Danio rerio: one gene and its partner. The protein of the gene in region 2 purifies or fractionates together with the protein of the main gene of each other region. This does not show direct contact. Links are inferred from orthologs where the notes say so. Each region holds a gene or a part of one and is shown on either strand. Other genes may lie near its edges.

Region 1 (7,146 bases), on a different chromosome or scaffold from region 2:
TAACATTCTGACCTTGTCTTAGGATCATTAAAATGTGGGATTTGCGGAGGAACTATACTGCATACCACCAGAACCCCCTGCCTCTACAGGCCTATCCTTACCCAGGGTCCTGCACGCGCAAACTAGGTACACATCTCATAGCCCACTGTTACTAATGAGAATTCATATTATCAAATAAAAATCTTATATTGTTTTATTTATTTAATTAATATTTTTTTTTATTTATTGGAACTCTTATCTTTTTATTGTTTTTTTATTATAGAAAAGTGATTTCTATAAAATGTCATAAATTGTATCTATTTTTTGCTATGACATAGCCAGAGAAGCTGAGATGGCAATAATCTCTCTCTGTAGTATTATTGCTAATTTTCCTTTTCATGATCCTGTTTTTCTTCTGCAGGTTATTCTGGTCTTTCACTGGACTACACTGGATCTAGACTCTTCTCTAACTGCACAGATGACAATATCTACATGTTTAATATCAGTGGGCTGAAAACCACTCCAGGTACATATGAATTGTAATAAGTGTTCAGTTTGTTTGTTTTTAAGTGTAAATTGTTATTTTTTATTTTTTTAACTAATCAGTTTTTATCTGGAGTGTGGGATAGTGTTATGATGATATCATAGTTGTTTTAATGATGTGTGAGCAAACATAGAATTTCTCAAAGTCTAAAGAGTACAATATAAAAGCACTAATTTCAGCAGGTCGGAATTGATTTCTTTTTTCAAAATATGATAACTTTAATTTATTATGCACTTAAGACTGTTTTTTTTTTTTTTTTTTTTACTTCTATTGTTTCGTTGGTATAAAAAATCCCCAAAATAATTGAATTATGTAGGTGAAGCATGTTTCTGAACTAATTCTCTTTTTCACAGTCGCTGTGTTCAGTGGTCACAGTAACTCCTCATTTTACGTGAAGTCCACTGTGAGTCCAGATGACCAGTTCCTGGCTAGTGGATCCAGTGATCATAACGTTTACATATGGAAGGTCAGGAGTTCTCCATGCACTCACCCGCAAAATTCCCTCATTCTCAAATATATTTCTCAAAAATATATATATACATTTTCAAGAAGAGCTATTCAAATGATTCATTTGATTTTGTTACAAAGTAAGCTCCCCATCCCTCCAGTAACATACAGCCCCAGATCTAGATGTAAAAGTAGAAGATCAGAAGTTATGTAGCAACGGTGACACATGATTTTGTTTACTTTTGATCCAGATTTCAGATCCAAAACAAGCTCCCATGATGCTTCAGGGCCACAGCCAAGAGGTCACATCCGTGGCCTGGTGTCCTACCGATTTCACCAAGGCTAGTATCTGTAATTGCGGCAAACAAATAAATACTGGTTAAGAATTGTGCACAGCCTCTAAAGGCTTATATTAGTTTAAAACTCATAACTCTTCCTGCAGATTGCATCCTGCTCTGATGATAACACTGTTAGGATCTGGCGTCTTAACCGCAAACCAGAAGGAGAAAACTCAACAATCCAAGATGGAAACCTTGTAGGCTGGACGATTCGTAAAGTCCAGTCACCAAACAGAACACCTGGTAGAGTTCTCTTCTCTTTAAAATCTGGTTTAGTGTTTTTGTATTTTAAAGATCACATTCCTGTGTGCTGAATGTTCAGCTTCACTGCCGTAGTTTTTAGTGTCACACAATCCTTTAGCAATCATGCTTATATGTCAACTTGCTGCTTTAGTCGTTATTGCTAATGATTTACTATTGATGTTAATATTAATTTGCTGCTTGTTTGTGCTGCTTGTTTGTGAAAGGGATCTGGATTCTTTGAACAAATTTTAAAAAGGCATTTGTTTGAAATAGAGAGCTTTTATAAAATTATAAATGTATTTTGCACCAATCATCATTTTATTGGGATAGTATTAATTTCATATTTTTATTACAAAAATGTTACTATTTAATATATTTATTGACGGCAAAAAATTAAATAGTAAAAACTGATCCTAATATGAATCATTCAATGCAAATACAGTATAAATATGATTTAATTGTTTATTTAATTTGCTAAAAACATTGTTTTTCTACAGAGGTATGTATAGAGATTATTTAATTTCTATAGATCTCTACAGAGATAGTCTTCCTCAATTTAAATGAAAATTAAATACATTTCCTACAAATACAGTTGGTGAGAGTTATAGTTTTAATATATATATATATATATATATATATATATATATAGATAGATATATATATATATATATATATATATATATATATATATATATATATATATATATATGTATATATATATATATATATATATATATATATATATATATATATATATATATATATATATATATATATATATATATATATATATATGTATATGTATATATGTATATATATATATATATGTATATATGTATATATATAGATATATATATGTATATATATATATATATATATATATATATATATATATATATATATGTATATATGTATATATATAGATATATATATGTATATATATATATATATATATATATATATATATATATATATATATATATATATATATATATATAGATATATATATAGATATATAGATACTTTTAATTGATTCACAAAAGTAATTGCTTAAACTCTGAAGTTAAAAAATAGGTAGTGCTGGACGATTTGGCCTAAATTCAAATTATCGATTAATTAGACTTTATAATTTAATTATGGTTAATGAATGACAATTTTATTCATTTTATTTTTTAGGCCACATAGTTCACTGAAAAGTAAACCTGGGCTTTAATTTTCTTTTTATTTTTTTTATTTTTTTTTTTTGATTAATTTGAATTTACGTTTTGACGACGATTTAATTTTATATTAAATTGAAAAATCGAATTATTTTAATATTTTTTGTTTTTTTTTGTTTTTTTATATAAAAATATTTGATACATCATAATGGCACCAATGCGCTTTGGTTCACTTTCTGTATGAAGCAGGTCGCACACCAGAAGCGCCGCGCAGCGCCATGGATTTTAGAATTCTAAACATAAGTTTCTATAAACAAACCGGCGCCGCCCAGCCACGATTCAGGACGCAGTTCATATTTTAGCCGTGCCACAGATCGCCATCTGATTAGTTTCATGTTAAGTATCATGCAAATGTGCGCGTCTTGTGTGTGATACTTTAAACTGTCATGTGCGCGCCGTGTCGCGTCGCTTCTGGTGTGCAACCTGCTTGACTGTCTGTCTGTCTGAATTTCACTCATGGTAGTGATGGACTGGACAGCCTAATTCAACCTAAAGCATGAAGTTGTGGGCAAGCATCGCAGAGTTAGTGCAAATACAACGAATACAAGCATTTAAGTGTCTTCAGTTGTGTATTTTTCTTTTATTAATACCTTTGCATGAAACATGCTCTGGTCCACTCTCTCACGCTTCTCCAGCACTTCCTGAAGAGGGGATTTACATTCAGACTAGTGCAACAAGTGTAATCCTACATGACATCACGCTTTACTTAGTCACGTCTGTGTGGATTGCTAAGACATTCCCTCATCAAGTCGTTAAACTCAATCTCCCAACATGTATGAAGGATGTAAAAACCAGCTATGTAAAAAACTGTGCCGATCTTAGTTCAAACCGCGCTGATCTTAGTTTGGTTTGAACACGAGCAGAGGTGAGCAGCCGTAGCAGTAAAAGTGAAAGTACCCGCCCTCATGACGCCATTTAGTGGACCTAGTTGAAAACCAGACAGATCAGGCAGCATAATACAGAGAGTGGTACAAAGCGCATCAAATGATCGATATTTAAAAGGGGGGAAAAAATAGATTAAATATATTATTTTATATTAGACACACATCTGGTGCTTTTTATTTGCTCCTGCTATACGTTCACAACTTCACACATTGGGTTAAATTAGGCTTTACAGTTCAGTCCTTTACTTCCACTGTATCTTTTTAAGAAAAAGGCAGCAGCATTACAACCTGTCATTCAATCAGAAGCAAAAAGTCAAAGTCGAGCTGACAGCCAATCTTTCCTAGGCTCAACAAAACTTGCAAATAATACCTTTGTATTCCTGCAACTGCAATATTTACACATTTTTTATTTAAATCTTCTGCAACAATATTTAACTCGTGAATTTGTTTTACATTTATTTACACCTTGTTGACCAATTTATGTATGGCATGGCCATTAAAAATACAATGTTCTTTAATGGGATGGATTTTCAAGTTACTTATAAAGACAATGTTTCTTCAGTCATGTTGTTATAATGTTTTAAGTTGACTAGTTACACAATAAAAAAAAAATTGAAATCGTGAATCGGTCAAACTTTATTAAAAAAATTAAGATTTTTTGTTTTTTTTTGTTTTTGCCATATCGCTCAGCCCTACTGACAAGTTTTGTTCAGTAATTATGCTTGCATATTACCAGTGAAAGATTTTTGAGTAAAGGTTGCATTATTGATTTTAAAATAATAGAAGGCAATCTTCTTGCTGTAAGGCGACAGTGCTAATCACTGAGCCACCACACCGTCTCTGTATAATTATTTATTGAACATCAATGCTAAACGACTGAAATTAGAACACACATTGCCTAAAACCAACAGTTACTTTTTTCTTATAAAAAAGTGAAAATAACTAACTTTTAATATAGATTTTATTTTCAGTGTTTTTTCATACTAAAAGTAGAAAATTAGCAGTATCTCTTTTAAAAAAAAATAAATATTGTATATCCTGTAAATAATATTTTATGCAGTGCATTTCTTGCAACTTCTATAAACAATTTTAATATAAATTATAATTTAAATGTAATGGAAAATATGCCATTTCAAAGCATCTCTGGCGCAGCTTACAATCATAATTAATGTAGTGAAAAGTAAGACTAAAGAATAGGTCCATCGTCCTACTTAATCAGAGATTAAATGTGGTTAAAAAGTGGCCACAAAAGTATAAATAAAGGCTTAACATAGGAGGTTCACGTGACTCCACATGCGGAAGGGAAAGTAATTGAAAAAGATTGAAAAGCCTATAGATTGAAAACAGGTTCTGAATGTTGATTATTTCGATGAGTTTTTGTTTAATTGCCCAGCTCTAAACAGGTATTATGAATATATGTTTGAAAGTCACACTTAATTTTAAATTAAACAAATATAAACAGTACTTTACTATGTATGACATTATTTCTCCTTAAATTAAGGACTATAATTTGTTTTTTACGAGGCCTCTAATCCTTCTAGCTTTATATCATTGATAAAGAAAATAGAAAAAAGACATTAAGCATTTTAGCACTCCTTTTGAACAAGTAAAAGTTGCATTAGTAAACAAAAAAATCTTTCTACAAAAAAACTGAGCCTAACACAGGTGAGTGGGCTTGACAAACCACCTGTAGAGAACACTTTCATCTCTGACACCTGCACCAGTTTTGCACAAGACTCTTTCAATCTCTTAATAATAAAATAAAAACAGTGTGCAGAAACGCTTATAAAAAAACTCTCCCTTACTTACTCAAGCACTTAATCTCTGAGTGCTAATCATTCCTTTGTATAATTAGCACTTGTGTGTATTTTCTCTTGTTATATCGCAGGATGTTTCTTCAATTGTAAGCTAAATGTAAAATCTTAATCACCAACTTGACTGAATCCTAAAACAATTTATAAACACACAATCACCAATATTCTCTTATTTCTTGTTAAATTGGTGTTAATGAGTCCTTTGTTTCCCCAGGCCATCACAGCCCAGTTGAGCTCACTCCATCCAAAAATCCTGGATCGGTGAGGTCTGTTTCGCTGGCTTCACCCCAGCCTGCCACCTGTGCCCCTACAGGTGCCGCTTTACCCCTCCCATCAAACACCTCTTCTGCACCTCCAGCCAAGCTCACCAGCCCCAAAATGCCATCATCCCTTCAACAATGGATCAGCCGCAGCAGCAAATCTCCTGTTCGAAAAGCCCTCACACCTGTTCTCCAGGGTCTGTCCTTCGAACACCGTGTCAAACGCCGACTGGAGACGGGCGATTCTGCCAGCTCTGGTTTGGGAGAGGAGATCGACGGTGTGTCTGAACTTTATCCCAATGTCAAGAGGAGTAGGAGTTCAGTAAGCACACTCAAGAAAGAGGACTCGTTTGGTTTGGAAAGTGAGAAGAGGCTAGGCTCGGATGGTGCAGAGGCCTCTGGGAAGGAGAACAGCTCTCCCAGGAGGACTGATTGGCTTTCTGTGATCAGCCAGAAGTTTAAAGGGTCGGCTCAGCCTAAGAGCCCCAGCAGTGGCAGCAGTCAGCAGGATACAAGAACACTAGAATCTCCAGTGAGTACATATAAATACTTTCATTTTATGCTTTATACTACTGCTTATTAATAAATTGCATACGATTGTTGTGCACATTTGTCAGTAAAGCTGGCTCTATTATCAGCTGTGAATCTCCAGCACCTGTGTTCAGCTAGAGCAGCGTTTACTAGTGCGAAAATATTGCATGCAAAAGTCAAATCGCAAATAGTCATGCTACGATATTGACCTCCATTTGTGTAGCTTCTCTGTGAACTACAACACTTTGTAGTTAATATTGCCATTTATAAAACTTAAATTCCATACCGCATGCAAATGCAAATACCGCATACAATGATGTTTCTTTACTCCACTCACTTCATAGCTTCTGTATAATAGCATTTAAATTGAGTCCTTCTGTGAAATTGTCTTCTTTCACAGAATAAAGTTCGCACGTTATTTGATAGAGTGTGCGCAACGCGTCTGAAAGGTGCATTATGAGTCCTGCAAATGAATAGAGAAACTCTGAACTTCTGGGAGACTGGGGATGTCTGAATATCACAATAACAAATTTAGTGAGACGTGATCCAGCCGTACATCCTTGATAAATTGTACGACGTGCACTGCTCTGGAGCTCAGAGGAGCGCATGACTGTGTGTGTGTGTGTGTGTGTGTGTGTGTGTGTGTGTGTGTGTGTGTGTGTGTGTGTGTGTGTGTGTGTGTGTGTGTGTGTGTGTGTGTGTGTGTGTGTGTGTGTGTGTGTGTGTGTGTGTGTGTGTGTGTGTGTGTGTGTGTGTGTGTGTGTGTGTGTGTGTGTGTGTCTGTCTGTCTGTCTGTCTGTCTGTCTGTCTGTCTGTCTGTCTGTCTGTCTGTCTGTCTGTCTGTCTGTCTGTGTGTCTGTCTGTCTGTCTGTCTGTCTGTCTGTCTGTC
Region 2 (7,608 bases):
AAATACATGAAGTTGTATATTATATGTTGAAAGGATGCAAAAAATAAAGAATTATTTATAACTGTAAATGGTAATAAGACTTATCACAATAAATACTGTATAACGCACATAAAAAATTTGAACAGAACTCAGAAAAGCAACTGCTCAAATAAATTGTTTCACAAAAAAGTCACACCAAAATCAGAAATGTCTATTTTGGAACTACTGCCCGGCAGTACAGTATACATAGCATATTATAAAAAGACAGAGCTGAAAGATCACCTTGTAGTGAATCTGCAACTGTTCATTGGTGGATTCATTCTGCAATAAAGACGCTCGGTTGATGTAGGCCTCGGCCTGAACCGGGTCGTCATCCTCCAAATACAGACGAGCAATTTTCAGGTAAGTGTCTAATTTGTAGTCCACATTATACTGTCTGTAGAAGCAGAAAAACATGATTAGAAAATCCAAACTCACGACCAGCAGTACTGGGCGACATGTTGGCTGCATTGGTTTAATCCAAGAGAAAAGCAAGCTTACTTTTGACCCGTCTCCAGTGGGATCCCCACAAGAACCTGTGCAGCGTTCCTCCAGTCCTCCTGCTTCTCATAGATTGTGGCTAAATGCTGTCTGATGGATGCCACCTGAAAGAGTGAGACGTCGACTGTAACTTTCTGTCGTACACCACACATACCAAAAAGGTACCATTGGTACCCTTTTGGCAGTGGAAACGCAAGCCTGATAAAGGTGTCCCTTAGCATACCCCTCAGTGGAAACGGGCCATAAGAAAACATCCTCATAAACAAAACATGTGCATGCAAATTATTACAACACGTGCAAATACAGAAACATGCTGCAAATAGTACCAATCACAATGGAAATAAAATAGTGACGAGTACATCCTGACTAGTCACAGGTGTTGTCAGAAATCTGGGATCATAACTTTTTGGGATCCCAGACACATTTCTATTGTGATTGGCACTATTTGCATCATGTGTATTGTCAAACCAATGAAGATGTTTTCGCAGTTTGTATGTGTTCTTCTATTTGTATGTGTTTTCTTAACTTTCATCATCTTTGAGGTCTTTCAGCCACCGTAGGACAATCTACCTGCAGTGAATTTATTCTAGGTTTCAATGGCTGAGGAGAATAAATCAGACAGTTTTCCCACCAGTGGCAAAAATAGCCATTATTTAATTATTTAGTTGCAGAAGCATCAAATTTGGTTCCACATGTGAGTAATTTGTTTGCATTGTAGAGGGCTGAAACCCACCTGTTCTTCAAAAGAGATGACTCTGGGCTGGATCTTCTCCAGGGTGAAGTGACACACAACTTTCGCTATGTCGTCTGGAAGATTTGGAAGGTGCGCGCAGAAGTCTGTCAGAAGCTGTCTGGATATGACCAGGCTGACATTCTCATTGACCACTATTCAAGAGACAAGGGAAATTATGAAATAAGTCATTGTAGAGACTAAAACGCCATAAAAGAGCCACACAAACTAAACGTTCTCATTTATAACTGATTTTCTTCAATATTCACTCAATGGCCCTTTTGTTATGAGCACCTGTTCATCTGCTTGCTTTTGCAGAAATTTAATCAGCCAATCATATGGCAGTACATCACTCAATGTAGATTTAATAAAGATGATCTGCTGAAGTTCAAACAAAGCGTCAGAATAAAGAAGAAAACCGATTAAAGTGACTTTAAGGCTTTTTTTAGAGAGAAAACCCCCCTCACCCAGACTGATGTTTTTACTGGGTGTCAGAGCGTGACAGTTCAAAATCACTGGGCATGCACATATTTAGCCAGCATTAATTCTTGTTGTACACCAGTTGCGTATTAGGCATATAATAGGGAATGATACGCAGTAGAGTAGAAGACCAGTCAGAGATCGATTGTTGATAGCCACATCTCCGTTTTCAGCATTTCAGTCCATTTATTGTAAATTAAACAAAACCTTCAAATCTCAACAGAGATTTACATAATGAACATGCAGGCAGCAAGTCAGCATCATCTGTGTGATACAGTCCTGTAAATATGGACCAAAAATTCTGAGAAATAATATGAGATCCTTGCTAAAACTATTCTAAGCCATGAGAACGAGCAGTTCTGAAATCAAAATGGGTCTAACCAGTAACAGCAAGGTGTAATTAGTAAAGAGGCAAGTGAATGTTTATAATCAGAATATTAGTACTTGAATACTAGTATACTTACTCGCTTCAACAAATGCTTTCAGTGCTTCAAGTTGTTCTGCATCAGTAAACTGTAGAGCCTTTTCTAATATTTGACGATATCTGTGAAAACAGGGAGGACAAAGATTATAGCTACAAAAATTATACTATACTTGTGTTGACATTACTGGATGATAATGATGACTGGATTTATATTGTACTGTATAAAGTGATAAATATATCAAATGCAGCTTTAAATGCTTGTTAAGGTGAATTCTTAGTGGCTGTCAATCAACAGTTCTACATCCCCATTCACAATGTTGCCACGGTCATATGACCTAAACTTGAACTTCATCTTCAGAATATATGTAAATCATCATTATTTAAGCAAACCACAGTAACCACAAATCAACTATGGATTTTGACACCAATTTAAATCTATTCCTGGTGTTTATTTGTGGTTAAGTCTTGTTTATACAAATGCTAATCATCAGTGTACCAAAAAAATGCTTAATACACTTTTACTATAATATAGTCATGATCAATTTCATATGGGCTGTGTGACTTGTGTCGCTCCACTACTATTCACAAATCCTCTCCTGTGGCCTAGTGAGACAGAAAAGTTTTGATTCGACACACACCTCAGAATCTCAGCATACAAAGCATGTTATTCTGGTCCTTTTTGCATAGGGGACAGCGGGGATGAAAGTAACATTTTGCATATAAACCTAACTCTAAAAAGATAATGTTTTTAGCGGAAATATATATTTTGCTGAGGTTACCAACTCATAAGAGTGATCAATCAAAATCAGGTGTTATTTTGTATAATGTAGAACAACACCAATATAACGTCACTTTACACAAAAGTTGCACAGCTACTTTTGACAGGAACGAAAAAAAACTCACAGGTGAGTCAAAAGTAACACAACAATATTTGCTAGATTTACCGGCTTAATCGTGTTTATTTTAAATATATCTGACCAGTGGTGTAAAGTAACAAATCACCAATACTCAAATTACTGTGAGTAACTTTTCTCAGAAATTGTAATTTACCAAGTAATTTAAAAAATATGTACTTTTGATTTTTCAGTACTCATTCCACCACTGTATCTGACTTTGACCTTGTTAATGTTAACTGCAGGCATATTTTGTCCTTTATTTTTGCAAAAAAAATATTAAACTGCACCTTAATTTTTAATTTTACTTCCATAAAATGTTTCAAAAGCAATCAAACAATGCAAAATGTTATATTTTCTTAAAATTTTTGAATATTTTATTATTATTATTGGCAATCTGCATTAATCTTATAAAACAGTCAAGAGTCAAAACACTGAAAACTAATATGGAAGTGAAAAAGTGCAGAGGGACATAAATAACAGTGTTACTTTCATCCCTACAGTAAACCTAATTTACCTTTTAAACTGCAAAACTCAGACATTTCAAAATCAAGGAATTGTTATTGCACTAAAGAACCTGCAGATTGATCATTACGGTGATGCATGAAAAGAGAAATACAACAAACCACTACAATAATTTACATTTTGCACTTTCAAACAGAAATTTAGAGCTCATTGCAGGACACGGCCCCAAAATTGTATATTTAGCAGTTTCATTAAGGGTTGCATGCTGCTAAATGTGTTGTTATAGCCTGTAAATCAAATGTTTTCAGGGCTTCGAGAAAATCACTTTGTTACTTTTGTCCCACGTTTCTTTTATTCCTGCTCTCCCCTACTGTTTTTTTTTAAATACAATGAACTATTACTGTCTATTCAACTTTTTCTTTTCGCCTAATATAAAAGTCTACATATTCAGACACACATTTTAATAATGCTGAGGGTAAGGCTTGTTCATCCTATAAAATTTGATTGGACAAAAACGTAGACACGCCCCTAAATGCAAGATGAGTCATCAGTATTTTGGTTTTAAAAAACAAACGGTTTTTTTTCAAATGTCATTGTCAAATGACAACTATATTGTCAACTTTTAGGTCTACGTTTGGATATACAATATCTCAAACCAAAATTACTGAACCAAACGATTTGATTTAATGGGGTCTTAAATTCTGTAGGCTAACTGTATTTGCATTAACGTACTCCTCCTATCGTTTTCAAATTATATTAGTCAATTCACAAAGACATTTGCATACAAATATGCTAATGATTCTAATAGCTTTTACTATTTATAACTTGTATGATTGTTATTGATGTAGGCATGTTGACAGGTAGATCCTCAGTATTACACACGCTTGCTAATGTTAGCCTGTAGTCATATCATTTGCAGTATCACAGACCTTTATATAGAAAATCACACAATAACACCCAAATGCAAAAGACATACAGTAACGATATTAGCAAATGACTTGAAACCACATACTTCCCAGCTAGATCTTTATGAGAGCCACTAGAGTTCATCAGCTGTGCGAGCTCCTGCCTCACGCCGGACGCCATTTTCCTCCGCACTTAAACAGCGAAACCTGCGGGCCAGCAGAGGGCGCCACACAACACAGAGAACCGACGACAACTGAACAACACACTAGAGGGCGGTAAAGTCTATGTGGGATACAGCTGCGGATAGCATCATTTTTGTGACACTAATTAATATTTTACATAACTGTGAGATGGGCATTAATAAAATACAATTCAATGGGTAATTTAATAAATATTATGAGTAATAATTGGTATAATGACAGTTTTTTACATTATAATGGTATAATTACTGTTTTACATAACTTTATTGATTGAGTTTAGGGTTAGGGGGGATAGGCATTAATAAAATACAGTTCAATGGGTAATTTGATAAATATTATGAATAATGCTTGATATAATTATTGTTTTTACATTACTTTGATGTTTGTATTTAGGGTTAGGTAGGTGTTGACATTAATAAAATACAATTTAATTGGTAATTTAATAAATATTATGAGTAATACTTGGTATAATTACTGTTTCACATAACTTTATTGGTTGGGTTTAGGGTTAGATAGGGGTAGACGTTAATAAAATACAGTTTAATGGGTAATTTAATGAATAATATGGGTAATACGTGGTGTTTTACCATCACTTTGATGCTTGAGTTTAGGAATGGGGTAGGTGTTAATAAAATACAATTTAACTGGGGATTTTAATAAATAATTCTTGTTAATCAAATCTTGTGCATCAAATGTGTGTGTGTGTGTGTGTGTGTGTGTGTGTGTGTGTGTGTGTGTGTGTGTGCAACATTTTATTTATTATTATTATTAATGTGAACATAAATGTGAACATAAATTAATTTATTATATCAATTTGTTTGTCAAAATTTTATTTAATTAATTTTAATTGTAAATGTCTAAAATTCATCAATACAAATAGGTGCAACACACCCATTGGGGGGTTTAGACATAATATTAGTAGTAATATTAATTGAATAATGATGAATTAATAATTGATAAAATAAATTACACCTAGTTAATATTCTAAAGACAACATAAAAACTGAACCTTTAGTAACTGAACCTCTAAGAAATCTTTCTCAGACATCTTCGTGTTTTTAGTTTCAGATATTTTATTATTACTCTGAGCTCAACAGCCTCCTGATGAGATTTTATATATAGTAAGGATCAATAAAGATCTGCCTCCTTCACTCTTCCCTGCAGTAACTCTATAATATAATTAATTAATTCATTAATTTTTTTTCGGCTTAGTCCCTTCATTCATCAGGAGTTGCCACAGCGGAATGAACTGCCAACTTACCAAGCATATGTTTTACACAGCTGATGCCCTGTCAGCTGCAACCCAGTTCTGGCAAATATCTAAACACACTCGTTCACACTCATACACTATAGCCACACATATGTAATATAATATAATATAATATAATATAATATAATATAATATAATATAATATAATATAATATAATATAATATAATATAATATAATATAATATAATATAAAGGTGTCACGGGGGCACAGTTGACAGCACAATAGCCTTACAGCAAGTAGGTTGCTGGTTCGAGCCTTGGCTGGGTCAGTTGACATTTTTTGTGTGGAGTTTACATGTTCTCTCCGTGTTGGCGTGGGTTTTTTTTCGGGTGCTCCAGTTTCCCCCACAGTCCAAATACGTTCTGTGGGTGAATTGGTCGTGGTGTATGGGTGTGACTGCAAGAGTGTGTGGGTGTTTCCCAGTGTTGGGTTGCGGCTAAAGAGCATCTGCTGCGTAAAACATATGCTGGATAAGTTGGCGATTCATTCCGCTGTGGCCACCTTAGATTAATAAAACGTGAATGAATAATAAAAAATAAATGAATTCAATTCAATTCAATTCAGCTTTATTTGTATAGCGCTTTTACAATGTAGATTGTGTCAAAGCAGCTTCACATAAATGGTCATAGTAACTGGAACAGTGTGGTTCAGGTTTTAGTGTAATAGAAAATTTACAATAATATAATATAATATAATATAATATAATATAATATAATATAATATAATATAATATAATATAATATATAAAAATATATAAATAGATATGTGGCGCAGTGGGTAGCAAAATCGCCTTACAGCAAGAAAGTTGCTGGTTTGAGCCTCGGCTGGGTCAGTTCTAAAATAATTATCATAATATTCCAAGTAAAAATCCATTCTTTTGCTTTTTTATTGAAGAGTTGAATAATGAAAATTCAAATGAATTAGTTAATTAGAAAACTAATTTTAGACGCAAAATTCTAAAATTAATTAATTGTAATATGTATTAAAATTATTAATATAAACACTTTAAAGACACTTGAAGAGTGTTCTCTTACAATTCCCAAATTTGTAAACTTTTGTTGTTGTAAACATTTTGTAATGTACAAATAATTCATTTAAATAACTAAGAAAATTGTGCAATTCAGATAACGATTTAGATAAACAGGAAAAATAACAATTATGAACATCAGTAAAAATATATATTTTTAATTATGCGCAATGCAAAAATTACAGTCATGGTACATACAAAGAATAAAGTTAGAAGCAAAACAATAATATACAAAGGAGCTACATTCATAAAGCACTACTGGGATAATAATAAACAATTTAAAAACTTCAGTTGTTTTAACGTCATTTTTGTCACAGAATTAGAATTAGTCTTAAAATAATGTTGCATTTCAGTAGGAAAAATATAAAAGAAGAGTTTCTGGTTTGTAAATTTGCATTTGTGTATATGAAATATTAAGAATACAACAGTAAAAAATCTGCGCGGAAGTTGTGTTGTGACGTCATGTGTTGTTTCCTACGAAGGCGTGGTTTGATTATGGGATGTTAGAGGTGAAATGGCGCTCGGCGCGGTATTTTAAACAATCGTCTTCGTCTGAGAGCGGATGATCGACAGGATGCAGCCCCGAGTTGGACCGAGCAGGTCGTGATCGAGCAGAAAACGTTGTGGATTTCAGAAGAGCGTCTCGACACTCATCTCGACCCCGTGTAGGAGTGCTTTGGGCTCGGGTGGGTGT

What was found.
Region 1: the proteins of cops4 (region 2) and dtl purify together in Homo sapiens (affinity purification with mass spectrometry; 3 studies listed by BioGRID). This does not show direct contact. The link is inferred for Danio rerio from reciprocal best matches to the Homo sapiens genes COPS4 and DTL.

What each region holds. Positions count from the first base shown.
Region 1 is NC_133195.1:14,400,744-14,407,889, forward strand, and holds part of dtl (denticleless protein homolog), read left to right. Parts: intron 1-22; coding exon 23-126; intron 127-400; coding exon 401-505; intron 506-876; coding exon 877-989; intron 990-1,221; coding exon 1,222-1,311; intron 1,312-1,412; coding exon 1,413-1,551; exon of another isoform or gene 1,552-1,583; intron 1,584-5,540; exon of another isoform or gene 5,541-5,680; coding exon 5,681-6,258; intron 6,259-7,146. UniProt on the Homo sapiens protein: Substrate-specific adapter of a DCX (DDB1-CUL4-X-box) E3 ubiquitin-protein ligase complex required for cell cycle control, DNA damage response and translesion DNA synthesis.
Region 2 is NC_133185.1:12,011,432-12,019,039, reverse strand, and holds the start of cops4 (COP9 signalosome complex subunit 4), read right to left. Parts: upstream 4,666-7,608; 5' UTR 4,598-4,665; coding exon 4,524-4,597; exon of another isoform or gene 2,547-4,523; intron 2,304-2,546; exon of another isoform or gene 2,274-2,303; coding exon 2,194-2,273; intron 1,405-2,193; coding exon 1,253-1,404; intron 624-1,252; coding exon 520-623; intron 416-519; coding exon 262-415; intron 1-261. UniProt on the Homo sapiens protein: Component of the COP9 signalosome complex (CSN), a complex involved in various cellular and developmental processes.